Bombyx mori: one gene and its partners. The protein of the gene in region 6 binds, or shares a complex with, the protein of the main gene of each other region. Links are inferred from orthologs where the notes say so. Each region holds a gene or a part of one and is shown on either strand. Other genes may lie near its edges.

Region 1 (3,500 bases), on a different chromosome or scaffold from region 6:
CACCGACCCCCACAGCGATATAACATCGTGCGGTACAAGCAAATTTTCCTGGGACGTTTTGCCAAAAAAAAAAAAAATGGCTGGTGAGCTCACGGCCTCCTGGTGGTGACCGTTGCTTATCGACATCAACAAACCCCTGAGTACTCTCATCAAGCCTCGTTTTCATTGCTTAGATGGGTGGACGAGCTCACGGCCCACCTGGTGTGAATTGGTTACCGGAGCCCATGGACATCTATGACGTAAATGCGCCACCCACCTTGAGATATGAGTTCTAAGGTCTCAGTAGTTAAAATGGCTGCCCCGCCATTCAAACCGAAACGCATTACTGCTTTACGGCAGAAATAGGCAGGGCCACCAGGATATTTTGACTGGTTTGATTTTTATTACACGATGTTACTCCTTCACCGTGTAAGTCAATCGTGAACATTTGTTGAGTACGTATTTCATTAGAAAAATTGGTAGGTACCCGCCTGGGATTCGAACACCGGTGCATCGCTACACACGAATGCACCGGACGTCTTATCCTTTAGGCCACGACAACTTCCACGTGCCTTTTGAGACCTCCGTGGTCGCGGGTCGGTTCGTTGTATAGAGAACTAGCGACCCGCCCTCGCTTCGCTTCGGAAACTGTAATTTATTATTGATTTCTCCACTATTTAATGAATGTTATTATACATATAAACCTTTCTCTTCAATCACTCTATTTATTAAAAAAAAACCGTATCAAAATCCGTTGCGTAGTTTTAAGATTTAAGCATACACAGGGACAGATATAGGGACAGAGAAAGCGACTTTGTTTTATACTATGTAGTGAAGCTCTCACCCGTCTTGAACGTGTTGGCGGGCTGCTGCTGGAACGTGCCGAGCCCGAGCGTGCCGAAGCTCGGCGCCGCGGGCTTGCCCTGGAACACGCCCCCCGCCCCGGCCCCCAGCCCCGGCGCTGAGGGGGACACGATAGCGTTAGTACGAATTTACGTTACGAAATTAGTGTGATGCATATTAAACTCCAGTTTCACGAAAGTGGTTTCGATAAAATATGCAAAAGTGATTTCTTATCGCAGTATATATTTTGCTATGTTCAATGTAGCTAAAAAAATGCAAACTTATAAAAAATACGTTGGGGGATTCGAGGATGGTTAACAACGAGGCATTTGGGTGCAATGATGTTAGCCTCTGAATTAGCAGATGAAGACCCTGAAAGTACGGAGCGCCGAGTGCCGCGCGGGACCCCCTCCCCCCAGCTATACGTACCGGCGGGCTGCGAGGCGGCGAAGCTGAAGCTGGGCTGCGTGGTGGCCGGCTTCCCGAAGGCCGTGCCCTGCCCGAACAGGCCCCCGCCCTGCGTGCCGCTGCCGAACGTAGGCGCCATGCTGCCGAATGCTGTGGACGAAACACATTGACCGTGAGCACGCCGGGCAGCGGGTTCAGTGCTCACCGCGGCCCATGGACATCAGAACTTCAAGACATAAGATGTATGTCTCGATCGTATTTATTTATTTAATATATATTGTGCACACAAAAAAAGGCAAAAAAAAGAAAAAAATACCGGATGTGGTGGTACCGAACGCCGGAGCCGTCGTCTTGGCAGCGAAGGGTGCTCCGCCCCCCGAGAATGAACCGAAGCCCGAGCTGGCCGGCGTCGTGCCGAACGCTCCGGTTGCCGGCTTCGCCCCGAATATACCAGTTGACTGAAACAAATAATTTCGTAAAATCAATATTTGAACTCAAGCACTCATCACCACCATGAGCGCCCACTTACTATCGTATAAACGATACGCTTGGCTGCCTACAGACAGTAGAATTCGATCACACGTATAAAAAATATTTCAGCTAATTTACTCTTTATTATTGGTAATACTAACTCTAGTTCGAAATAATTGTAAATAGACATGCTTCAGCAAAAACCGACATAAAATAGAAAAAAAAAGAAGATATTCCAAAGCAAATTAATATACACTAAAAACAATAATCATCGAAATCGGTTGGCGTGATATTGAGTTATTGAGTTATTCATCTATCTATTTGTCGCGCACGTACTTAATGCAAATTTAAGACTTATATGGTTTTCTCATGGATACCATTATCGGAACTGGACTAAATTGAAATGGGACCACACGGGAAGCGTCAGCTTTCCAGCAATAAAAAAAGAATCATCAAAATCGATTCACCCAGTCAAAAGTTATGAGGTAACAAACATAGAAAAAAAACATACAGTCGAATTGAGAACCTCCCCCCTTTTTTAAATCGGTTAAAAATATCATAACAAAAAAACTTGTACAACTATTACAACGGGGTAAACTTAATTGTAGTTCAATTAAAAACATCGAACTTGTTGATGTCGATACTAAATAAAACGGACCTTTAATTACAAAGAGAAAAGTCCCTTAAACCGAATATCATTTCACCCTTCGATAAATATATTTTTGTCCTTCTAACCAGACGAGCTTACGGCCCACCTGTTGGTATATGGTTACCGTTGCTCGTGGCCCTCGGCAACGCCAGGGGCGGAGTGAGGCCGCTGCCCGCCTCAATACAGTATTCCAAAGGTTTTAAGGATTATTATCCTTAATTCTGCTGACCTGATTCTGCGTGTTGGCGCCAAACCCGAATGTGTTAGTACTGGCGCCGAACGCCGGCGCTTGTGTCGTCGTTGTATTGAACAGGGTGGAGCCTGCAAAGAAAAAAAAAAACAAAAAAAATATATATATATATATATATCAGTATCCATCACAAGACACAAAATAAATAACGCAATTACATCCGGCCCGAAATTAAAATTCCCTGAACCATGGGTACCAGAAACTGACAAACGTACTTATTGTTACGCCGGTTAGAGTAACGCCATCTATCGTCGAATAGTCGAACGAATATCGAAGGATCTAGAAACATCTAGAACGCTCGAGAAGTACAACGCCGTCTCAGCAACGCTTTTATAGTCGCTACGACATCCCTATAATCGTTGAGAACATGCCTCAGAAATCGAGTACCTTCGATGTGTGTTTCCGCTATTTGATAATAGATGGCGTTACAATTCTCGAGCGTTCTCGATATTGCTGGTGGTAGGTAGGACCTCTTGTGAGTCCGCGCGGGTAAGTACCACTACCCTGCCTATTTCTGCCGTGAAGCAGTAATGCGTTTCGGTTTGAAGGGTGCGGCAGCCATTGTAACTATACTGAGACCTTAGAACTTATGTCTCAAGGTGGGTGGCGCATTTACGTTGTAGATGTCTATAGGCTCCAGTAACCACTTAACACCAGGTGGGCTGTGAGCTCGTCCACCCATCTAAGCAATAAAAAAGAGAAAAAAAAAAAAGCGTGTACCTTCGATGTATGTTTCCGCTATTTGATAATAGATGGCGTTACACTTCTCGAGCATTTCGATGTTACTAGTTCTTTTAATATTCGTTTCTGGTGTTTGATGACAGATGGCGTTACTCTTACTGTATTAATCTAGGTGAGCCGTCGGATAGTTCAAAAAACATAAACATATACTTTACCCGC
Region 2 (3,500 bases), on a different chromosome or scaffold from region 6:
GGCTTTATTTTAACTATTTTATGGTTCGATAGCATATCTCTTAAAGCGTCGTACTTTTGCGGCGTGAGCAGGGGCTTCTTTGTCTTCGTTTCCGGTTCTATGCTCATATTCAATATGTTCTTCGTTAACTTCGAGAGAGGATCTCTGTGAATATCGATAAAAGTATCTTTATTATATTTTAATACATACACATAGGCAAGTTTATGCGACATGGAACCAGAAATGGACAAAGAAAAAAAAATCTATCGAGCCCAAATGTCGGTGATTTCAACTACTGTTTCTAATGTATTATAGAGTGTTGGCAACTCCAACATTTTAGCATGGAAAATAAAATTATATGACTGGCAACATTGTTGATGTCAGTCTCTTCCTGACTTTTTGGCGGGAACGCGAGCAGTGAAGTTGTGTGATTTGTTTTATTTTGTCTATTTAGTGTTTCTTCAGGTTTAAATGTGTAATAACGGTGGTTTATTAACTGTTTAATATCTGTGAAAGTGCACAAATGTGGGAAAATGAAACAAAGCTGCTGGACGTAACTTCTCGGGTTCCTCCAAAAAGTCCACTGAAAAAATCTCAGTAAATGACCACCATTTTACTGCGATTATATTTCATCCCATATCATCTCATTTCATTAAATTTCATCCCAGTTGATTAATGTCTCAAATTAATCATCTTCATTTCATTTCACTCCATATTATCATTTTTCATAAAATTAAGAATATAAAGTAAAATAAGACATGACTTAAAGGTCTTAGTTACCAGGTCATAAAATCTCTTAAAAAAAAAAAAAAAAACAGTCTCTTCCTTTTTTACTTTTCACCGCGAGCGGACGTGTTTTTCATATTAATAATATCAAGTGTATGGACATTCAAATAAACCGTATTGCAGCACAAAGCACAAGTTTTCTTTATATCAGCAACCGGCCCATACAGCCCGCACCAAAACATAGATCTATCCAGAATTTTGAAGATTACAATATCGAATTCTTGGAAAATATAATTGAATTCTTCAAATCGACTGGTGGTAGGACCTCTTGTGAGACCGCACGGGTAGATACCACCACCCTGCCTATTTCTGCCGTGAAGTAGAAATGCGTTTCGGTTTGTAGGGTGGGGTAGCCGTTGTAACTATGCTGACACCTTAGAACTTATATCTCAAAGTGGGTGGCGCACTTACGTTGCAGATGTCTATGGGCTCCAGTAACCACTTAACACCAGGTGGGCTGTGAGCTCGTCCTCCCATCTAAGCAATAAAAAAAAACGAATTTAATTTTCGAAGCATTTTATGAATTCTATATATAAACTCACTTGTTCCTAAAAGGAGTGCTTCTCAACAGCGACGGAGATTTGCTTAACGGTAATATGTCACATTCCTTGAGTGCATTACGCAGGTTCCTTAAAACGGTCTGTTGTCGGCTCAGGATCTCTTGTTGCTTCACCAGCGGCTGGTACACGTCGTCCAGTCTTGGACGTATCATGTACTTTCCCTGTCTGAATATTATTGAATAGTTAATTTATTAAAGATGTCGGCTGCATAATGTGACTTGACTAACATTTTTTTCCTTTTTATTATTAAACACTAATTTGTTATGACCCAGACGTAAGGATACTTGGTCTTAAAGCCGGTATCAGAGTCGAAAACACCGAAAAGTAAATATCGCCGTTTTTGACACACGAAGTAGCTAGTTTTATTTCAGCTGTTCCCGCCCTCGAAATAAGAACGATTGGTCTTCGCAGAAAAGACAGATTGTCGGCACCTAGAGGACTTACAAAGTACCAGTTTTTTTTATTAGAAGAAATCTTTCTAGCCTACTAGATAAGACGATAAGAAGACGCATTGCAAGACGCAATCCTACGGCAGGTACTGATTTTGTTTATGGCAAATAATATCTAACATTATATAATAATTTAGATTATTATAAAAATCGAACACGTAAAATTATTTAATTTACGTAATTACTTGGAGAAGGGCGTTTTGTGACCGTATGGGTGTAGGGATCAACTTGCTTATTTCGGCACAAAGCAATCGCGGATTCGGCTCTCAAAGATTTTATACAATATAACATATTTGATGTCTCACATCGGATGATGAAATTTACGCTTTAATATCACGAGTTGCAATGGTAAACAAAATTATACTAGACGAATAAAAGCATCACCCAGTATAAATGCAAAATTTAACTTTAAATTAAAATTTTATATACATATATATATTTTTTTGTAATGTCCTACAACACTTACTTGGCATTTGGATCATTCTCGACTATTTCGTTCCATTTATAATCCAGCGCTTTCTGTGCTTGTTCCAGTTGATTCCGCACGTAATAAGCAAGTTTCTTCACTGATGCAACTTTTTTTATTGTCAGCGGATCCGCTTGCGTCCATTGTTGTAGATCTTTGGTGCTAAAACATAATAATAGTATTTCGTAGACACATGCTTATTACGACAGACACGTGCTTATTAATTATATCAGCTTAATTTATTGTAAAAACAAGCGGAGCCCATAGACATAAATAACGTAAATGCCGCCACCCACCTCGAGACATGAGTTGTAAGGTTTCAGTTTTGTAGTACAACGGCTGCCCCACCCTTCAAACCGAAACGCACTACTGCTTCACGCTAGAAATAGGCAGGGCGGTGGTACCTACCCGAGCGGGCTCACAAGATGTCCTACCACCAGTAAATTTTCTACTTTTACTGCCAAGCCTAGATAATTTTATAGTTTTTCTGATTCCGAAAATTTAAGTCAATACTAATGATATTTTTTTATCATACCAAATAATTCCTTAGAGAACGAGACGTCAATGTATTCGTATCAATCACGCGATGCGACTATGCCGGGGTTCAAGCCCCGCAGACAGAAATAAATTTTTTTTAAGGAAATACGTACGTATCACGTATTCACGAATTACTTCAACAATGAAGAAATAACAGTGTTGTATTTTTACTGGTATATTGTGAACCAGCACGGGTGAGTACTACAAATCATCCTATTTCTATCTGCCTGAGGTTAAAACCGCCGTTATCTCTATATATAAAAATGAATTGCTATTCGTTAGTCTCGCTAAAACTCGAGAACGGCTGGCCCGATTTGGCTAATTTTGGTCTTAAATTATTCGTGTGGAAGTCCAGGGAAGGTTTAAAAGGTGAGAAAATATAAAAAAGCTCGGAATTATATAAAAACAAACAATTTTGTTTTTCCTTTGATGTGTCCCCTTGATGTGTCTTTTATTTATCGATTGAGGCACTACGAAGTCTGCCGGGTTAGCTAGCACTATATACAATTGAGACTTAGACGTCATATCTAAAAGCGACAGTCGCGTTCAGTAGACTACAATATAAAAAAAATTATCTTAACTTACTTAGCATGTGTACGGGCTTCTGCGACTAGAGCGCAGGTGCGGACAAGTTCCAATTTTAGTTGTATTATCGCGCCCCTTAAGTCTTCCAGTGAACAATCTTTCTTGAGCTGCTCAGAGTCTAGCGAAGTTAAATTGAAA
Region 3 (3,500 bases), about 10 Mb from region 6:
CCTGCAGTTCAGCGTTGAGCGCCCGCTTGTCGTTGGTGAGGGAGACGAGGCGGGCGGCCTCCAGCCCGGCCCACAGGCGCGGCGCGGTGCAGGGCCAGCCGCCCAGCGCCGCCAGCGTCAGGCACAGCTCCGCCTTCAGCTGCAACGGTATGTGGCAGCACATCAGCCCTGCGGAAGAAGAATATCGACGCTTGAAAAGCAAACGTGACTAAGCGACAATGCGTGAACTTTACAGTAGACTAATTTAAAGTTGAAATACCTGAAAAAAATTCTATTTTAACGAATCTAGCTGTAGGATTGGAATGATTTTAATAGACCTAGAAATATATATTTTTTGCGCATCGAATATGGTTAATGCCTATAATTTATGTACAAAGCAGTTATTGTCGCTTAGTCACGTTTGCCTTTCAAGCGTCGATATATTGTCTAAGTTTCTCGTCACTCGTATTGTGTTAGTGGCGTGTCCGAGTCGCGCCGAAACCGTCGCGTCGTTTGTACCAACTCGAACATGCTGACACTATGTAACTATTTATACGTTGTGGATTAAAGAATCGGCTTCCAAAATGGTTCACGGTCTATGAGCCGCTTCAATTGGATCGATCTTCTGTAAATTACTTTTGTTTGCTTGTAGAACGCAATGATTACATTACACATGATCATAGATAGGTAAACAGATAGTCACGTCCGTGCGTTGCAGGTTGCGGCTGCGCCCGCTGGTCTCACTCATTTTACTGTGACCGATGTGGCCACAAATTATCTTGCAAAAGCTCAGGCGTAAGTCCGCCAGTACAGCGAGAGGTGAAACATTCACAACCGATTTTTTTTTTTTTTATTGCCCATGTAGACAGACGAACATACGACTTAATAGTGCGTGGTTATCGTCGCCCATGGACTTCAAGGATGCCAGAGGCAGAGTCAAGCTGCTTCCTACCGCTAAGTACTCTCCACCAGCCTCGTTTGAAGCAGGACATGTCATAGCACTCGAGAAACACCGTAGTGAGGAGCTCATTCCAAAGCCGGATGGTACGTGGCAGAAAATAATTCTGAAAAGGCACTGTGGATGAGTGGCTCCAGATAGTATGGAAGGTTCAGCTGTCGTGGTTGCGTTGTACCAATGTGAGCGCGGCGGGGCACGCACCGAACATGTTGTTGACGGCGTCCCACTGCAGGTTCTCGCAGATGGCGGCGGCCGCGGCCTGGTCCTCGCGCGCCACCCCCGCCAGCAGCTGCAGCGCCGCTATCATCGCCTCCACCTGCCCGCGAACAACAGACATCAATTACATTTACAATACCGCCACAAAGAAGCCTCAATAAAATATTGTTACGCCGGTAAGAGTAACGTCATCTATCGCCGAATAGTCGAACCAATATCAAAGGATCTAGTAGCACCTAGCACTCTCGAGAAGTACAACGCCATCTATTGTCAGATAGCGGAAACAATACTAGAGATGTGTGGAATATTCTCGATAATTCTAGGGATGTGGTATCGACTATAAAAACGTTGCAGGGATAGCACGCAGTCAGTCAGTAATCGGAACTACTCGAAGCGAATGAAGCGAATTGAGAATTTTAAAGTGTAGTGAAGTGTATTGAAGTGTCCTAAGTGCTAATACAGTGTTAACTTGTAATTCAGTAGAATTTATTTATCCCGAACCCCAGCGCGTAACAATATACTCAATCGTTACGACATAAAGATTTAGTTCACTTGCAGACTTTACGCATCCTGTGGATTCCAATGAAACCACTGGATCTATGTTACACTGTATTAAACGTTACAATTTCATACAATAGCTACAGCCGCGTCTTCACAAGTCCATTCCGTTATCCCCACCACTTAAGAAATCCGATCCATAGTTAGGTTCAGACCTCCGCGGTCACGGATTACTGTTCCCTTGTGCCCTTGGAGCACGAGCGTGTCTTCCGTATGATTGAGTTGGAATTTTGTTATTGGGACTCCGGGGGAGACTTTTTTACTGTGTCATCACAACATGGCAGATGTCGCGAGAGTGGTTTCGCAAATGAGCGTTTTTTTAATGATTAATTTTGTACAATGTACCAATTCTCCTTACCTCTTCCTGTCGGATGAGCAGTTTCCCCGGTCTGGCTGCTGGAGTGACGATGGCCGTGGCTCCCAGCGACGAGGAGTGCAGCGCGTCCGAGAACGGCGCGTGGTCCGTGCGCAGGTTCCTGTGTGCGTGACAATCGCGACTGCGTACAGTTACTTTTAATAATATTGTTAAGCCGGTAAGAGTAGCGCTATCTATCGCCGAATAGTCAAACGAATGTCGAAGGATCTAGTAGCACCTAGAACGCTCGAGAAGTACAACGCCATCTATTGTCAGATAGCGGAAACACAATACTCGAAATGTGTGGAATATTCTCGATAATTATAGGGATGTGGTGTCGGCTATAAAAGCGTTGCAGGGATGGCACGCAGTTAGTTAGTAACCGGAACTACTCGAAGCGAAATAGCGAACGGATCACCTGAAGCGAAGCGGAAAAAGTGAATTGAGAATTTTAAAGTGTTTGTGAAGTGTTTTAAGTATTCTAAGTGTTGAATACTGTTTTTAGTTGTACTTTGGTGGAACATTTATTTATCCCGAGCCCCAGCGCGTTACAATATAATTAACTATATATCGTATACAGTACAGCGCCCAGGTGTGCGTGCGTGTGTACGTACGAGTGGTATCTGGCGAGTGCGAGCAGCATGTGGTGCGCGGAGAGCGCGTCGCGGCGGGAGAGCAGCGCCCAGGTGTGCGTGCAGACGGCGAGCGAAGCCATGGCCTGCAGCGCCGCGCTGGAGGCGGCGCCCCGCACGAACTTGTACAGCGAGGCCGCGCGTCCGCCCCAACTGTACACATCATACTTGATCATAATATGAACTTTTTAAAAAGTAAAATTAACATTTTTATTAGGTACTGCTCCGACAGGCTGAAAGATAAAGCTGTAGTTTACTAAGGAGGTTTAATGGTTTAACACTTTCTTATCATACATTTGATTAACATGAATTTAGAAAAAATAAGTACATAGTATATAATATACTTAGAAAAATCAATTATATATTTTACTACAATTTGAAGATAAAAAATTGTTATCTCTTGCATCACTGCAAGTGTGGGAGGGTGGGTGTCGTACCGCGGCTGGTGCGCGGGGCGGCACGGCTGCCAGTAGTCGTCGCGCAGGCGGTGCGGGTCGCGCGCGTACAGGCGGCGCACGCAGCGCAGCAGCGCGTCCAGGCGCGTGCGCGAGCCGCCCGGCGCCGCCAGCCCCTCCAGCGCGTACGCCTGCACCGAGCGCGCCGCCTCGTCCGCCCTGCCGCCGCAACGCGTTGCAACAACAATCAGCATAATGACGTCACGTAAGACGACTAAACACAGTAATTGAATACTCGATTTATTTTGATTAGAATTCCTTTACACTGCTTATTGCGTTACGTGTTATAAAATGTGCTAAAATTATGTATATCTTTATTTTTTCCATGTTGGTGACGGTATGTACAC
Region 4 (4,177 bases), on a different chromosome or scaffold from region 6:
GTTTTTTTCTTCTGTGATATAAATAAGAATAAGTACACTGGTTTTTTATAACCTAGTCTCAAATATATAATGTTATTAATACTACCTTTATAGTTTTTTGCAATCCTTTAATGGATTTGATAAACTTTTTTTGTTTGCTAGAATCCAACGCAACGTTTTCTTCCATTTTATTTCGTAATTTAAAATGTGATTTAAGCAAAAACTTAGAAGTGTAAATAAAGAACAACAAAGTCTTCTTTTTTAATTTTTAGGGATTTTATGACCTGGTAAGTAGGACCTTTAAGTCAAGTCTTATTTTTATTTTTATGAAAAGTGGTATGAAATGAAGGAAGCTGATTAATATAAAACAATGCACGAAATGTCATAAAATGAAAATGAAAATGAAAACGAAGTGAGACGAGACGAGACGAGATGAAACGGGACGAACGAGCACTTTCACAGATACTAAATAGTTAATAAACCACCGTTATTACACATTTAAACCTGAAGAAACACTTAATAGACAAAAATTTAATAAAACAAATCTCACAACTTCACTCTTCGCATTCCCGCCAAAAAGTCCCAAGCCTTCTCGTGTATTAAGTGCACAGATTGATGTTCGTTTTAATATGTATCGTTTGCGTCAGATAGGTGTAGGCATTACATATTATCTATTTTTTAGCTGCAAATACGGTACATCAATTTAATATAAAAATAGATTCCCTTTGGCTATCTGGTAGAAATAACAAACTCTCGTGTAACAGACACAAAAAGCTCAAGACCTTTAGGCGGGATCGTGAGAAAAGGATTAATGTGACTTGTTACATTTTGTTCATTTACTTTATGCTTAAACGTATAAAACAGTGGTTCACTAGCTTTTTCGCACCTGTGTTAATGCTTAAGGCTATGTTCCGATGTACACTGGGAGCACTGTAAAATATAATGTAAAATTAGTATACTGCGAAGCCATTCCTTTAATAGCTGCACTGGTTACTTTTTTAAATGGAACACAGTACAGTATAAGGGTGAGACCGATATATTAGTATTCATTAAGATATTCGTAATACAGCTTGGGAATTTTTAAATGCATTACTTTTTAATGTTTGAACCTTCATTTCTTGATTCCTTGAAGTCAAATTCCTAGATACAATATACTATTTATATTATTAATAACTAATGTGTATTATCTATGATTATTAACTTATTTCACGAATACCGTATTAGGTTTAACTCGTTTACCCGTTTTATCAAAGTATATTAAGATATCAGGATATTCACGTATTAGTTAAGGTATTATAATATTACATAACGAATATATTTGTATATTGACAAATATCAGTATTAACCCATCGTTAGTACAGTATGATGCCTGCAATTTGTGTCTCAAACAAAAAAAAATGTATGGTTGCCGCTGTTATAATTCACTTCATCTAAAAAAATAAATAAACATTTGATTTCACTTAATTACATTCCATTTCACATAATAAGTATAGTCTTGGCCTTCCAAATGCTTTAGCGGTATAGACTTCTTTCCGTGTGCCTATCCAAGGAATGAAAAACTTATCCTTTCTCCAGTTGAGCTGTGGAAAGTGGAAATGACATATAAAGAAAACAAAATTTCAATGTTTTCATGAGACCGATTTTGCGCTAATAAACTCTGATTCTTTGATAAATATCAATCATGAAATGTCGATTGACGAAATTATAGGAAAAACTACATTCTTGTAATTTTGTATATTAAAATTAGTCATTCAAAGTTAAAAATCCAGTAATACCTAACCACAATGTCGATGATAACTGGCACTCTTAATCAATACATACAATGTGTGGAACGTATGTACAGAACGGGACAAGGTAACATATTGTCTAGACTGTTGTCTCTAAGAGATGAACATGTCTACAATAGGAATCTATTATCTAGCGATATTGCAACCCTTGTCACAGGAAATTGTGTTGCTCCATTAGATGAACTTGTAATTGCACACTTATCATGTCTTAAGGTGAGATATATGAATTTAATTCTGGTTTTAAATTGATAAATATAGATTAAAAAATAGTAAATGTACCATTATTAATCTGGCCGTTACTACAGCGAACATTACCTGTTAAGTGTATTTTAAATATATCGTTTTATTAGCTTCTCGTCAAATACTTTTACTGGTGGCAAGACCTCTTGAGTCAGTAGTAGTCAGAAGCAGTAATGCATTTCGGTCAGAGACTGAGACCTTAGAACTTATATTTCAATATGGGTGGCGCATTTACGTTGTAGATATCTATGGGCTCCAGTAACCACTTAACACCAGGTGGGCTGTAAGCTCATCCACCGATCTAAGCAATAAAAAAAAATGCTTTGCATTCCAGGCATTATATGCAAGTGATTACATTGAGGCATACGATCATCAGAGTATATGTGTGGCCTCTGTCGTAAAGCTATTACAGGGACAGAAAGAAGAGAACTGGTGCCTTCCGGTTATGTATGCTGCATGTTTAGATCTTAGACTTGTTGCACAGAAAGCAGAGGCATCTAGCCGTAAGTATGAATTTGCATACATCATTCAAGAGCTAAGATAAGATGGTAATAGTATCAAGTGATTAGGGCATTAAGAATAAGATGCCTGGAGTACTCATATTGAAATCTTCAAATGCCAAGGAAAATAATGTGTCATAGAAATGAGATCTTATAGTATTTATGATGGTCGGTTGTGTTATAAGTTTGCACAACTAGGTATGTATTACCAAACTGCTTGTTTCTGTACTAAAGCAATCATGTATTCTAGCTTGAAGAATAGTGCAGCAATTACACTATACAATTCAGCCTTAAACTTCATCACTTAAGGCAGACTTCACAAAGTAACGTCTACAGACTCTAGTAACCACTCATCATCTGGTGGCTGTTTAAGTGCAGGTTCCCTTCTACTCAAGATTTGTCTCCTTAGTCTTGTTTGAAGAATGACTAACCCTAAGTGCTCAGTATATTCACAGGTGGTAGGATTCAACTCTGTTATGGTGGTACAATGTCGAAAAAACGAAATTATCTCAAATACTTGCATGAGTTGTTGTCTTAGTCAATATTGTGTTAAATAATCTGTATTCTGTACAATTAATTTCATTTGTCAATATTTCAGCTCAAAATGGCAGTAAAATTATGGAAAAAGCAGCAGAGAGCTTATTAGCTTGCTTCAGAGTCTGTGCTGCTGACAACAGAGCTTCAGATGTGGATACCAAAAAGATAGGCATGTTGTGTCTTGTAAACCAACTTCTTAAAGTATATTTCAGGATAAACAAGCTCCACCTTTGCAAACCATTGATTAGAGCCATTGATTCTTCACCATTCAAAGATCAATTCCCACTGGCCCAACAAATTACATACAGATATTTTGTGGGTCGTAAAGCCATGTTTGACTCAGACTATCGTCTAGCTGATGAATACTTATCGTTTGCTTTTGAAAATTGTCACAGAAGAAGCATACGAAATAAAAGGCTCATTCTAACTTATTTAGTTCCTGTGAAAATGCTGTTGGGTTTCATGCCCGCAAAATATTTACTAGAGAAATATGATTTGCTACAATTCTGGGATCTAATATCAGCTGTGAAAAATGGAGATTTGCGTGGTATCGATATGGTTATGGAGGAACATGAAAAGTTCTTCATAACGGCTGGTATTTATTTGATTGTAGAAAAATTAAAGATTACAGCATACAGAAATTTGTTTAGGAAAGTATATTTAGCGGAGAATTCACATCAGATAGACATAGCCAGCTTCGAGGCAGCATTACAAATCATGGGACAGGAAGATGTTGATTCAGATGAAACTCAATGTATTGTTGCAAATCTCATATATGATGGAAAAATCAAAGGATACATCTCATACCAACACAAGAAAGTGGTTGTCAGTAAACAAAATGCTTTTCCTCCATTATCTAGTCTGTATTAAATTTATACCATTTAAATAATACCTAGGGGAATACACACTTAATTTTTTGATTGTTTTAATAAAAATTAAGATTCCATTAGCATAAAGGCTGATTAAGTGAAATGTGATGATGAGCAATTGTATATCTGACGCAATTTCACTATTTAAATACTTTCTTTTTGATTACATATAATATCCATAAAAATACACAAAACAGTTCAGTAGTCCAGTTTTTTTATTTTAGTAGCACTAATGTGTTTAGGGTTGTCATTAAATAAAATAGAA
Region 5 (3,500 bases), on a different chromosome or scaffold from region 6:
CCCAAGCACTGGTCATAGTTTTCGTCGAATCCGTCGCTTGCGACTACGGGCTCGGCGAGTAAATTAGCCTACAGACACATTCCACTGAGTTTCTCGTCGGATCTTCTCAGTGGGTCGCGTTTCCGATCTGATGGTAGATTCTGCGAAGCACGGCCCTTGCTAACGCTGGAATGGTCTCTCTAGACCATCAGCTTAGGTAAAAAAAAGGAGAAAAAAAAACTCACCCAGTGAAATAATCTTGAGCAGCACCAAAGCGTTTTCAGTGTGCAGTAAACTATATACACAGGTCCGTTTCAACAGCGCGGTGCTGCCATCTGTTTTCTGGTCTTGCAACACTAAGGTCAGGAAGCGCATACAGCGCTGCAACATGGCGCGCCGGTCCTGTATGTTCGTGTAGCGCCAGCCGTATGCGTTCGGCAACACTTCGCGCAGGAGCAGGATCAATCCGGGCAGAATTATTTCTTTGGTAACACGTTCTTCGGTTGATGCCTGTTATTGTTTTGAAATAGTTACCGTTATAAGCTCCGTCCCAAATTAATTAAAGACCTATAGTGTATGACAAAATTGTTTAACACGTTGACTGCCGTGTAGGTCACCGGTGCTCTACGCGGCGCACTGAAGTAATTCTCTTCTCTACTCTTCTTCTTATCTTCTTACTGAGGCGCCGGAATATCTAGTAGACTCTCTGGGAGAGACGAATCCGAACGATCCTGAGAATGAATCTATTTCTAAGCAACTTAAAAGACTGGTTTAGTTTTTACCATACCATACCATATTAACCAACAAAAGAAGGCAAAGTTAGGCAGTCCGGGCGTTTTAGTAACAGAAATCGACATAATTACTTCAATGCGCCGCGTAGGGCACCGGTGACCTACACGGCAGTCAAAGAGTTAAAGGCTTTGTGTTTTATTTTAGATTTATAGAACAGAAATTGCAGGTTAGATCGACCCCTTTCGATTTAGGTGAAATTTATTTAGGAGTCTTCTTTGATGCTATGACAAAATTTTGACTAAAGGAAAATATTTATTATCTAGATAAACCAAGGTTAATAGTTTCTGTGATATTACTAAAAAGACCTTAAAACTTTTACTACTACGAATACGAATCACAATTTTCTCAGTACCTCATGAAAGGTGCAAAGCATATCAATATACGCAGATAGGAACTTGTATGTTCCTGTAGGTTGTTCTAGTGCAACTAAATAGGATCCAACGGTAGCTGAATCAAACGATTCGCCATTGGCATACTCTATATGCGTCAATTTCTGATTCATGATGCGTGGTAACAGACCTGCGTTTATCAATCTGAAAAATATATTTATTGCAATTTTTTTTTTTGTTAACAATAAAATTTAACACTTCTTAGATTTTCGTATTAGTAAATAAACAATATCTTATTATATTAAGATAAGAGATAATAAGCTTACATTGAGAGAAGTCTAAAAAATTTGTTATTTAAAAAAAGTTTTTATTTAAAATAAAGTGTTTGTGTCAAATTAAGTTTCCCTTAAAAATGATTGAAAAAAATGTAAATTACACACCTCAAATGAATTTCTTTCGGGAAAACTGGCACCAACGCAGAACATACTTCAAGGCATTCCACCAAAAGCAGCAGAGGCGGAGAATCAGCCCTCATAAACCTTACTAGTATATCGAAAACTCCTTCACATGATTCTACCAACGCCTTTGGGATCTCTTTCTCCTCAACCAGCGACTTGAGTACACCCTTTAATACTCTCGCACCTTCAAAAACTCTCTGCAATATCGCATTGACGTTGTACTGATGATGTTTTCTGTCTAAAGCTTTTTCTATATCGCTGTTGAACACCGTCCAATAAGAGTAAGGTGTTCTGAAGTGGATCATGGTGCCTTCCTTTCTTTCCATGATTGTGGCTTTGGAGCCAGTTTCAATGCGATAAGACGGATCTCCCAGAGGGTAGTACTCTCTGCCGACTATGGCGTCATCGTATTGTATAGATACCAGTGGTACTGCGTTTGGATTGTATATTTCCGTGTATACAGGTAAATTTTTCAATTCAGATATTAGCTGTAATCATTTAAAATTGTATATTAGTTGCTGGTGAAAACCAAACGAGTCCTACTGTGTCTATCGCTAGTTATTTGAAATATATCAGTTCCTTAACTTGGGCGCCACCTATTGTATATTGATCGTACTATAATATTCACTATGTGCTATTCTGATGTGTAAAGCTATGTTTCATCAAATTCTGTCCAATAATTTTTGAGTGGAAGAGTAACAATTCTCACAAAATATCATGCTTAATATTAGTAGCATAATACACTATCCCATCTATATCAATATTTGTATGCTTTTTTGTTTTGTGTTGCTAATACACAGGCATCTTCTTTATCCAATTCAGTACAAATGTTACTTGATGGTAAGTTTGTGGCATAGCACTATTAATAATATGCTATAAGTAAATAAATAACTTTAATAATTCGGGACATATTACATACGATCCTATGACTCCAAAGCTGAACGAGATTTTTTAGCAAAGTGGTATCCCCCCTAAAACATTGACTGCAGCAACTTTCCATGTTTGTTTATCTACATAATTTTGTGCAACAGATCCAGAAACCGTTTGTGAAAACAGTATGGACATTCGTTGTAAAATGACATAGCAATTAATATTTACAAGCTCTCAGACTTTAAGGCAAAGCTTTTGATTACTCAAAATTAAATAGCGGATGTAATGTTCCATTATGTGCATCCTTTTATCAATATTTCGGAACTACCTTTATCACTAGCTAAATTCCCAATTTAAATATTATTAAATGCTTTATGAAAATACATTTTTATCAAAAACAATCATGCATAAACATATACTACTCTATAAATAAACTACAATAGTTAAGAGTGAAGTGCAGCAGAATAACTATAGTTTAAAAAATGCATATTTGTTCAAAATAATTGCCTGTTATAAGTTACACACGAAAATGGTAATCTTTTACAATAATACATTATGTATCATTTATATCTGAGCAAGAGGATTTCGTCTTGATCGCTTGATTCAACTTTTTTTTTTTTTTTTTAGTTAAGAATGCTATTAGCAATTTAAATCAAAAAATATTACTTAAAATTACTTACATTTCTGACGCTGTTCTTACCAGCTTGAACTAAGCCAGCAGCTAAATTTGAGAGAGGACTAAAATGATGAGGGAAATATTCTAGTGCAGTATTCCATAATGACACTACACCAAAGTCTTTGTCTCTCTGATGAAGTTTCCAGAATTGACAAGCTATTTCTGGTGACTGAAGCAGGTCTGAACACAGCTGTATAATGCCAGTTTGATTGCTGAGGCTTCCGTCTCCATCAAACTTGTCACAAAGCTCGTTGAGGATATTAAACATTCTTTGTTTAGCTATTTGTGAGCACTTTGATTGATCCTGCAAGGTTGATTACATTTAATGTATGTAATCTCTCGCTATAGTGTAATGTTCATAAATTATGGTCCTAAATCAGGAGTTCCCAAACTTAT
Region 6 (4,155 bases):
TTTTTCATAGATTGTTTCCCTCCAAGTTGTTCCAACAAGTGTATGTGATATTTGATCTAATTTTTGATTCTTATCTTGAATATTTGACAAAAGATAATGACCTGCTTGAGAGCACCTGTATGTTCCTTCAGAAAACCACCGTCTAACTGCATTTGACTGTTTTTCTGGGGCATGTTTAACCCAGTTTACTTTTGGATCAAGTGGTAATGTTTGCCATGCTATTAACATCAATGGTGCAGCATATTTTACAGCATCTCTCCAATTCAACTGGTCTTTCTTTGCCCTCTTCAGTAACAGTGTAGCAGCATGTAAGCTAAATTGTCCTTTATGATGTTGAAGCAAACTTGCATGAAAATCTCCATGGCCAGGACTAGGACCTGTTTTTGCAACTATTTCAATTGACTGATCATAGGCTTGTAGAAACTCTTGTGACTCTACTAAGCTTTTTGATGTACCACTTGGTGTTTCAGTTAAACTTAAGACACACAAACGTTCTCTAACAGTTAAAAGCAATAACTGGTACAGCCATTCATTATGGTTAATTCCACTATTTACCACAAGATTGGCTAAAATTTCATACCAAGCATAATTACTCATGAAAAAATTTTCACCAAACTCAATATTGCAACTGTGTTCAAAAGCTTCTTTTAATTTATTTGTGCTAATATAATGTTTTATTAAACGTGCATGAAGTTGTGCATCTTTTGGTCTTATTGCCAATTCTGTGGTTATTAATTTGACTAGTGCTTCAGGATTTGGATTTTGCAAGGATAGAAGTCTTTCACGGAGTCGAAAAGTAACAGGGTGTCTAGGGAATATTGCTTCTGCTTTTTCACACCAGTATTTTGCACGTCCAGGTTCTATTTCCACATCATAATCAGCTAGAAGTTCACAAACTGAAACAAGTATTTTTATATTTCATTTAAATGGTGTTAAAACATCAATTATGATCTTCCTGACCATTATTTATAATTTAGACAAGTCAATCAATTATAACAGAGGGAATACAGATGATTATACAGATGGAAAAGCTATGCTGACTGCCACTATTTTTTTGGTGGATTAATTAATTTATCTTAGTTTTTTTTTTATTGCATTAAAGTGGCTGGTTATACTAGACCTTCAGCCACTTGTAGTTTATTGTTTTGTATAATATTCAAAACAGATCTGACGTGAAGCAGTGCACGTAAGGTAAACAATGGCAAGGTTTTATTACTTGTAATGGTCAGGTCAATTCACACTGAATGAAAATAATCACAACACACATATTTTATACATCAGGTGATATGAAATAGGCATCATACAATCTGAAACCTATATGTGGACCTATGTATTACTTATGACGACGCTTGTAACTGAAAGTAAGTATTGTACTTTTTGACGAAGCATGTTGCTGATAACTCTATTTCTGTAATCTGACGAAGCGTGTTGCGGATAATAAAATGTACTTTTAGGTTAGGAATATTATTCTTTTTTTTATAATAAATTAGAAAAGTTGATCTGAAACTGTATTTAGTCATGTGTGAGTACTTGCCTAATCATGATCAATCAATCAAGCCTAATAAAGAATGAACAAGCTCATGACCCACTTGGTGTTAAGTGGTTACTAGAGCTTCTAGACATGAGAGGCCAGATCTTAAGACTTGTGGTCTATATCTCATTTGTATAGCAAAACCTAATTTTAGTTGATTTTATAAGTTAGTGTGTTCCTGCATTGTGGAAGTCATTCAAGAATTTTATCTTTTCGGGTATAACAACTTCAAACTATACAATAGCTACAAATGAATACATACCTATTAACAACATACAAAATATTATATTATGTAGTTTATTATATACATGATAATAATAGAGTATTCTTTATTGCAAAACAATATAAAATCAAAAGAAAAACAAAAAATCAAACAATGTATTGTACTTATGCTTATGCAGTCTTATTACTAAATATGACCTCTTCCAAGCTGACAAGAATCATCTAAGGAAATAAATTAATCATAGTACTACCACCAACACACTTACTGATAGAAAAAAAGAATATAACTAAGAATATAATTTTCACATAAATATAAATAAATATATATAAGAATACTGCACATAAAAATGGCTTAATAGAAGATTTTGGTTTTAATATTAACAAACCTAGTAAAGTAGCTATATGATAAATTGTAAATTAAATATTATTTTAGTAAGACTTACTGTCTAGAATAGTGCTTGTCTGGGCTGGGTCAATGTCCAGGGAAGTTTTGTATTGTTCTAAAGCCTTTTCTTTTTGTCCTATCTTCTGCAAAGCTTGTCCGAGAAGTTTATAAGCCGCTGCATTGTTATCTTTTTGAGTAAGATATTGCTCAACATATTTTTGGCAATTCGCAAAATCGCCAACTTCAAAATACAACCGAGCGATGGAATAAGCACGACTTTTAAACTGAAAATAACCAAATATCGATGGTAAAAACTTTGTCAATAAGCGTAATACTTGATTTGAACACCAACTACCAACCTCTCTCGAAGATATTTTGTTCAGCAAATTTTCGACGTGCTTATCAACGTCTTTTTTATTTCTATACATTTTAACGATTTTTCCGTCTAACCGATAGTAGTCACTTATTTACAAAACTAGACCTTTTGAAAATAATATTACAACTTGAAGCGCATGAGGCTGCAAATGCCCGTAATCGAACGCGAAGCTATGGTTGGTTATATTGATTACCTTTATTCTCTTTGAAATGGTTGGCAAAATGAATAATAACGAATAGAAATTGGAATGCCGTCAAAAGTCAATATGTCGTCAGTTATAGAGCAAAAAATTGCTAGATCTAAAAATGAGCTCAAAATGTACCACAAATTTAAAAATGTTTGTTTCATAACTGTTCATTTTCTGGAATACTTTTCTGTGGCATGCATTACTGAACAATTTTATAAAGCAATGCTTAAAAATGTAAAAAAATATGGTTTCTATTTGTTGTCATAAAATTTACTTGGCTTAATAAAAAAATCATAAATTACGCAATCCTTAGCTCATGCACTCAACTTGATCCCATAGACATTATAATCTACACCCATCTTATGGCATGAGACCGTAGTTTTAATTTTGGGTGTGACATGTCCATAGTATTGGCATAAAATAGCTTCATCCAGTTTTTTCACACTCAAGACAAATAATAGAGCATGGGCAGCATAAGCAGCATTTCATGCCAATTGATTAAGTTTCCTTCGTTTTTTATTATTCGTAAACTGTAAATACCTACTTAAAACGGCGATTCCTAAAAATCTTATTACTTGACGCTGGCTAATGCACAAACGTGCCGGATCCAAAAACTAAGAAGAAGAATATGTTGTACCAAAAAAATCTATGGTAGAATGTCTACTTGTATCCAAATAGTAAATAAATTAGGGTACACAGGTACATACCTACCTACTTATCTACATTAATTAACTTTACCTTATCACAACAGGAAAATATCAGAAAAAAGCAGGAATAAAAAATTAAAGATTAACCCAAAGAATACAGTGATACAAGGGGTCTATCGTAATCGTAACCAATTTGGTGATAAATCATTGTTTAATGCTGTAGTCAACGTATCTTAAAGGTATTCATATGCTCCCTTTGATTGAATTGAGAACTTTAACAACTTTCATAAACCACAACCTTATTTTTTTATAGATTTAATTTCTATCATGGGCGACTCAGAATTGGCTTATGGATCTTCGTTAACGTTGGATTCCATGAAAGTGATAGCAGAGAGTGTTGGTATCGCCACTCTTGGCGATGACGCTGCTAAGGAACTCGCTGATGATGTTACATATCGCTTGAAAGTGATTGTTCAAGATGCCATGAAGTTCATGCATCACTCAAAGAGACAAAAACTTTCCATTACAGATATAGATCATGCCCTGAAGATAAAAAACAATGAGGTATTTTAATATCTGCAGTTAAAGCAATATTTAAATATGGCTTTAAGTGTTCCATGGTCTCCTATGATAAATTAACAATATTTTTTTTTAATTCATTATATTATTTCATTCATTTTAGTGTCAATATGGATTTATTCAGCCTGATTCGCTGCCATTTAGGTTCGCATCTGGAGGAGGTAGAGAACTCCATTTCATTGAAGAAAAAGAGATAGATCTTTCGGAGATCCTATCAGCACCACCCCC
Region 7 (4,151 bases), on a different chromosome or scaffold from region 6:
CGGACATCAGCAACCGAGACTGGACTTAAGTCAAAAATAGGGATCCGGGGTACGGATAGACTTGAAATCTTAAGCAACGTGGCCGTCTTTGACGAATCACTGAGTGACACAGGAGGGAGAGAAAAATGCTTATTGAGGGCGCACAAGTCAGTATCCTTGACAGAAGAGACCGGAGTTTTGCCAATGCCGACAGATTTAAGGAATCTCCAAGTATGAGCAGGGCTGCGATTTTCAAGTGATTTGTGAAAGTAAAGTCTTTTAGCATCTCTGCACAAATGGTTGCACCGGTTGCGCAGTGCTTTGTATATGGCCAGGCTGTACCAATTAATTAAAAATTTAACTAATCTTTTTACCAGCTTACTGGCATCTGTCACTTACTTGATGCATATCACCTTCCAACAATGCCCGTAAAGTCCTATCCAGCCTAGAGCCTGAGGGCATAGATCCCATTCCAGCACAGGCCGATGCTGCAGCAGACAACTCATGAGTCCTAGACCAAGGTGCTGTGAACATTACGTAGCCTCCCAACATATCAAACCACGATGTGTATGTGCTACGTATTGACTCAAATGCTGAATATTCTCCTATGATTAACTGTGGGACAAAATTGTATAAATTAGTAAACGAATTACACAATGTTTTAGTATAATAAAAAATAAGCCTAATTAGCTCACTTCATCTTCCTAAAGCCTATTTTAAGACTTAGTGTTAATTAATGAACCACTTAATAATATAAAAAAATAATTCTTGAAAACATTTTCAATTAAGAAAAAAATTCATTTCACAATATTCAAATCATAACTCATTTATTTTGAAGTTATAGATTAACTGATTAAATTAATTAAATGTTCTTATTTGCTGTATATTATGCTGTTATTATTACCGTTATTCAACAGGTATGCTTGCATCTGCCATGTTCCTATTTGATTTGGCTTAGAACGGGGAAATTAGCATAGATAAATAGGTAATTTTACAAATTTTTTGAATGTAGTAAATGATGATGATGGTGGTATACACTTTAATCTAAGAATTTTGAGGACAAGAACAGTTTCTAGTTTATGCAGTTACTTAATTGATTCACACATCTTTACTTACTCTCATAATAAGTTCAAGTTTTGGTTGTGATGCCAACACTCTGCTAGTAACCTTAGCTCTGCATTCAGCCTGCCAATGCTTCCAAGTTACTGTAAACTCCCCAGTTGATATACCACCATATATCTGTAATTTTATATCCATGTTATGTAGATGTAAAGTGTTTATGGCAAGATGTGAGGTAAGATCGAACTTTTAGCTATAGGATATCCCAGGTTAAATTTGTTTAATAATATACAACTTTTCATAACCACAATGAAGTCTTTGATCTGACACAATGGTTACATAAATTAATAATAACATAAATTTATAAATTTTGATGGTGTTAATTGTTTTTCCCAAAATAGTTTTCCAGCTGAAGTTTGACATGTGTGGACTATAACCTATATCATGTGAACAGTCATTCAGTAGTTTAGACATAAAAATCTAATAAGACAAGAGTAAAGTTCATATATGGCTGAGCCTTTACTCGCCCACCTGTCCTGGTGAAACTGGAAAGGCCTCCGGGCCACCAGTAATCTTTCATTCATAAAGAAAAAACATTCATATAAAATATCTTATTAGCATGTTCCAAACATCTCTAAATGGTGATGGAATTGTTCAGATAAATTGTCTCTTAACTATCCAAAGTATAATTTTTGCTCTTAATTAATTTATACTGTGGAATACTTAATGAAAATCAATTGTTCCCTTTATTTGTGAGGAATTTAAATGATAATTTGACTTTAGAAATTATATTTCATTTTTATACTCACACTATAAACAGGCATACTCCGTAATGAATTATCAACAAGCTTAAATTCATTTGTTTCTGATAATGAATTTAATTTCAGTAGAGCTCGGGCGACATCTACTCGCCCTTGCACAACCATGCCAATCACAGTATCCCAATAGTCATCGTGGTCTTCTGAACCTCGCTCACAGGCCTCCAGCAACTGCGCTGCAGTCTGCTCATGGCACGGAAAATGGAATCGAACCCATTCTAGGAGGTATGGCAACACAATGTCTCCGGGAATCTTATCTATGTAAAGGATCTCACATAAATGCCAAATACATTCAACAGAATAAAATATTGTAATGTATGATTGTAAATTGATCATGTCGCTGCCGTCTTTCGCATCATTAAGGGCTTCTTGCAAGTTTTCAATGCACACTCTTATAATAGAACGATATTGTCGTGAAAGTTTTAATAATTCCACGTGATTGTCATTATTTTTTGAAGAATCGACGAGTTTCTGCAGAGATAAATATGTACCATTGGATTCGTTTACCAGTTTTCGTAAAATCGGATGAAATAATACAATCTCGTGACGTATATTGAGTATTTTGTTTTCGACATCATTTTTTGGTGTTTTCGAAACAGTTTGACTGCGTGGGTAGATAGAAAACTTGTTACCACTCCTCCACGCACATCCTACGCCCTTATTGAAACATTTTTCTGGTATATTCTGTAAGAAACAAAAAAAATAACTTAACTCAAACATAACCTATATATTCGTTGAATCATGTTAATTACTTACAAATGTTTTAGCTCGAATAATAGGACTACTATCATCGCCACGAACATTATTGTTAGAAAAAGTCGTTATATTCATTTTGTATTAAATCTTTCATGTACACAATGCAATTTCACATAAAATTTTGTAAACATTTGAATGCGAAACAGAATTGATCAGAAACCGCCGTTTCAAATGCGCTGATTTTTTTATTTGTTTCACACATAGAACAAGGTGAAAGCAAAGGAAACAAAATCCATACAGCCAATTATTCTTTTTGGTCAAATGCGTAATAATAGTGGGTTAGTAATCTTTTAGCATGTGTATATGGGCAGGTGTGAGAAAATAAAACAAAATCGCAGGACATGGCTTAGCGGTATCTTTTTCAAAAATACGCACACAATTCTATTTCGACGTCACCTCATCTCATCTCATTGCAATTTCAGATGATTCAATTTGGTTTCATTCCTTCCTATTAGATTTAGATAAGTTGACGAGCAATACGCACCTGTTATTTTTTATAATTCGTTGTCTATTCGCTGGTGTCTAAGGGGCTATTTCAGCTACGCGCAAACAAGTAGATGAGCTCAGAAATTCAACCTGAGAAAATTTGCTAACACTAGCCCTAGCAAGAACAGTGCCGCTGCAAAATCTATTACCCGATCAGAATCACGACTCATTGAGAATATCCGGCCAGAAACGCAGTGGGTTGTGTCTATGAGTTAATTCGATCATCGAAAACTTCGTCGCAATTGACGTGATTGATGAAGAAAGTAACCGTGAGTGAAAGGATCGGATAGGTCATGTTTCGCGATGTAATTTTACGTTGCCTCGTCCTTTGAGTCGGATATGTAATAAGCAGCGGTCACATTAAATAGATTATCGTGTCGCACCGAGCACTACGTTAATATTGCCACCGATCACAAAACATAAAATCAAAGACTCATTTGTATTGTATAGACTATGTAGTCCACCTTTCATAGCGGAACGCTTTCTAACTGTTATGCTTTAGAAACAGACAGAACAGTGATACCCAATAATGAAATTTACTGAAATCTACATGTAATTTCGTTCGCGTTCGACTTTTGTACTTCGGGTTTCAACTTCTGCACTTTCACAGATGCTAAACGATTGATAATCTACCATGATTATACGTTTAAACTAGAAGCAACACTAAATTAACAAAATAAAATAATCCATACAGTTACCTTGCCTCCCCGCCGAAAAGTTTCTTACAAACTTTAAATACACGAACATACGGCCAACAGTGCTAGACAAACTTTAACCCAAGATAACTAAAAAGTCGAGTATGATAGCCGTAAACATATTTTAAAAAGGTATGCATTGACAGTTGACGTTTTTGTTTGTTTTCGTAGTTTGACGCTCGTGATTCATTGTGAAACGTTTATCCCCTATAATAAAAAAAGTTTTTAAGTTTATATTTACCCTGAAATTAAATCCTTCCAGTATTTACAAGGTATAAAGGTACGTGAACATTTGATGACTTTGCATTTTTATTTAATAAGTAATGTCGCTGACCGGATGACCTGTTGGAGGACATAT

The links.
Region 1: E3 SUMO-protein ligase RanBP2 (region 6) and nuclear pore complex protein Nup98-Nup96 share a complex: the UniProt entries of both Drosophila melanogaster proteins name them as parts of the nuclear pore complex. The link is inferred for Bombyx mori from reciprocal best matches to the Drosophila melanogaster genes Nup358 and Nup98-96.
Region 2: E3 SUMO-protein ligase RanBP2 (region 6) and nuclear pore complex protein Nup214 share a complex: the UniProt entries of both Drosophila melanogaster proteins name them as parts of the nuclear pore complex. The link is inferred for Bombyx mori from reciprocal best matches to the Drosophila melanogaster genes Nup358 and Nup214.
Region 3: E3 SUMO-protein ligase RanBP2 (region 6) and nuclear pore complex protein Nup205 share a complex: the UniProt entries of both Drosophila melanogaster proteins name them as parts of the nuclear pore complex. The link is inferred for Bombyx mori from reciprocal best matches to the Drosophila melanogaster genes Nup358 and Nup205.
Region 4: E3 SUMO-protein ligase RanBP2 (region 6) and PCI domain-containing protein 2 homolog share a complex: the UniProt entries of both Drosophila melanogaster proteins name them as parts of the nuclear pore complex. The link is inferred for Bombyx mori from reciprocal best matches to the Drosophila melanogaster genes Nup358 and PCID2.
Region 5: E3 SUMO-protein ligase RanBP2 (region 6) and nucleoporin Nup188 share a complex: the UniProt entries of both Drosophila melanogaster proteins name them as parts of the nuclear pore complex. The link is inferred for Bombyx mori from reciprocal best matches to the Drosophila melanogaster genes Nup358 and Nup188.
Region 7: E3 SUMO-protein ligase RanBP2 (region 6) and nuclear pore complex protein Nup85 share a complex: the UniProt entries of both Drosophila melanogaster proteins name them as parts of the nuclear pore complex. The link is inferred for Bombyx mori from reciprocal best matches to the Drosophila melanogaster genes Nup358 and Nup75.

The regions. Positions count from the first base shown.
Region 1 is NC_085117.1:3,526,906-3,530,405, reverse strand, and holds part of nuclear pore complex protein Nup98-Nup96, read right to left. Parts: coding exon 3,497-3,500; intron 2,672-3,496; coding exon 2,580-2,671; intron 1,689-2,579; coding exon 1,547-1,688; intron 1,381-1,546; coding exon 1,252-1,380; intron 941-1,251; coding exon 824-940; intron 1-823. UniProt on the Drosophila melanogaster protein: Part of the nuclear pore complex (NPC). Required for MAD import as part of the Nup107-160 complex and required for nuclear export of Moe probably via its association with Rae1. Plays a role in nuclear mRNA export.
Region 2 is NC_085123.1:8,944,261-8,947,760, forward strand, and holds part of nuclear pore complex protein Nup214, read right to left. Parts: coding exon 3,363-3,500; intron 2,403-3,362; coding exon 2,241-2,402; intron 1,491-2,240; coding exon 1,308-1,490; intron 145-1,307; coding exon 1-144. UniProt on the Drosophila melanogaster protein: Part of the nuclear pore complex. Serves as a docking site in the receptor-mediated import of substrates across the nuclear pore complex including emb, RanGAP and phosphorylated Mad. Protects mbo/Nup88 from proteasomal degradation at the nuclear pore.
Region 3 is NC_085121.1:1,014,373-1,017,872, reverse strand, and holds part of nuclear pore complex protein Nup205, read right to left. Parts: intron 3,313-3,500; coding exon 3,136-3,312; intron 2,852-3,135; coding exon 2,681-2,851; intron 2,188-2,680; coding exon 2,070-2,187; intron 1,254-2,069; coding exon 1,139-1,253; intron 169-1,138; coding exon 1-168. UniProt on the Drosophila melanogaster protein: Plays a role in the nuclear pore complex (NPC) assembly and maintenance, but with limited role in NPC permeability. Required for specific nuclear import pathways such as Mad import.
Region 4 is NC_085115.1:3,910,084-3,914,260, reverse strand, and holds the start of PCI domain-containing protein 2 homolog, read left to right. Parts: upstream 1-1,377; 5' UTR 1,378-1,763; coding exon 1,764-1,979; intron 1,980-2,340; coding exon 2,341-2,509; intron 2,510-3,104; coding exon 3,105-3,913; 3' UTR 3,914-4,177. Other genes in the region: Nopp34 (nucleolar phosphoprotein), read right to left, coding at 1-11, 86-166. UniProt on the Drosophila melanogaster protein: Required for the export of nuclear mRNAs and involved in mRNA trafficking in the cytoplasm.
Region 5 is NC_085111.1:4,868,685-4,872,184, forward strand, and holds part of nucleoporin Nup188, read right to left. Parts: intron 3,409-3,500; coding exon 3,109-3,408; intron 2,047-3,108; coding exon 1,541-2,046; intron 1,305-1,540; coding exon 1,124-1,304; intron 490-1,123; coding exon 225-489; intron 1-224. UniProt on the Drosophila melanogaster protein: Component of the nuclear pore complex (NPC), a complex required for the trafficking across the nuclear envelope. Required for proper protein transport into the nucleus.
Region 6 is NC_085121.1:11,012,575-11,016,729, reverse strand, and holds the start of E3 SUMO-protein ligase RanBP2, read right to left. Parts: upstream 2,801-4,155; 5' UTR 2,567-2,800; coding exon 2,498-2,566; intron 2,423-2,497; coding exon 2,197-2,422; intron 897-2,196; coding exon 1-896. Other genes in the region: transcription initiation factor TFIID subunit 6, read left to right, coding at 3,676-3,912, 4,031-4,155. UniProt on the Drosophila melanogaster protein: E3 SUMO-protein ligase. Component of the nuclear pore complex (NPC), a complex required for trafficking across the nuclear envelope.
Region 7 is NC_085123.1:528,829-532,979, forward strand, and holds the start of nuclear pore complex protein Nup85, read right to left. Parts: upstream 2,801-4,151; 5' UTR 2,688-2,800; coding exon 2,613-2,687; intron 2,541-2,612; coding exon 1,848-2,540; intron 1,219-1,847; coding exon 1,096-1,218; intron 595-1,095; coding exon 379-594; intron 1-378. UniProt on the Drosophila melanogaster protein: Component of the nuclear pore complex (NPC) that seems to be required for NPC assembly and maintenance. Required for nuclear import of phosphorylated Mad via importin msk.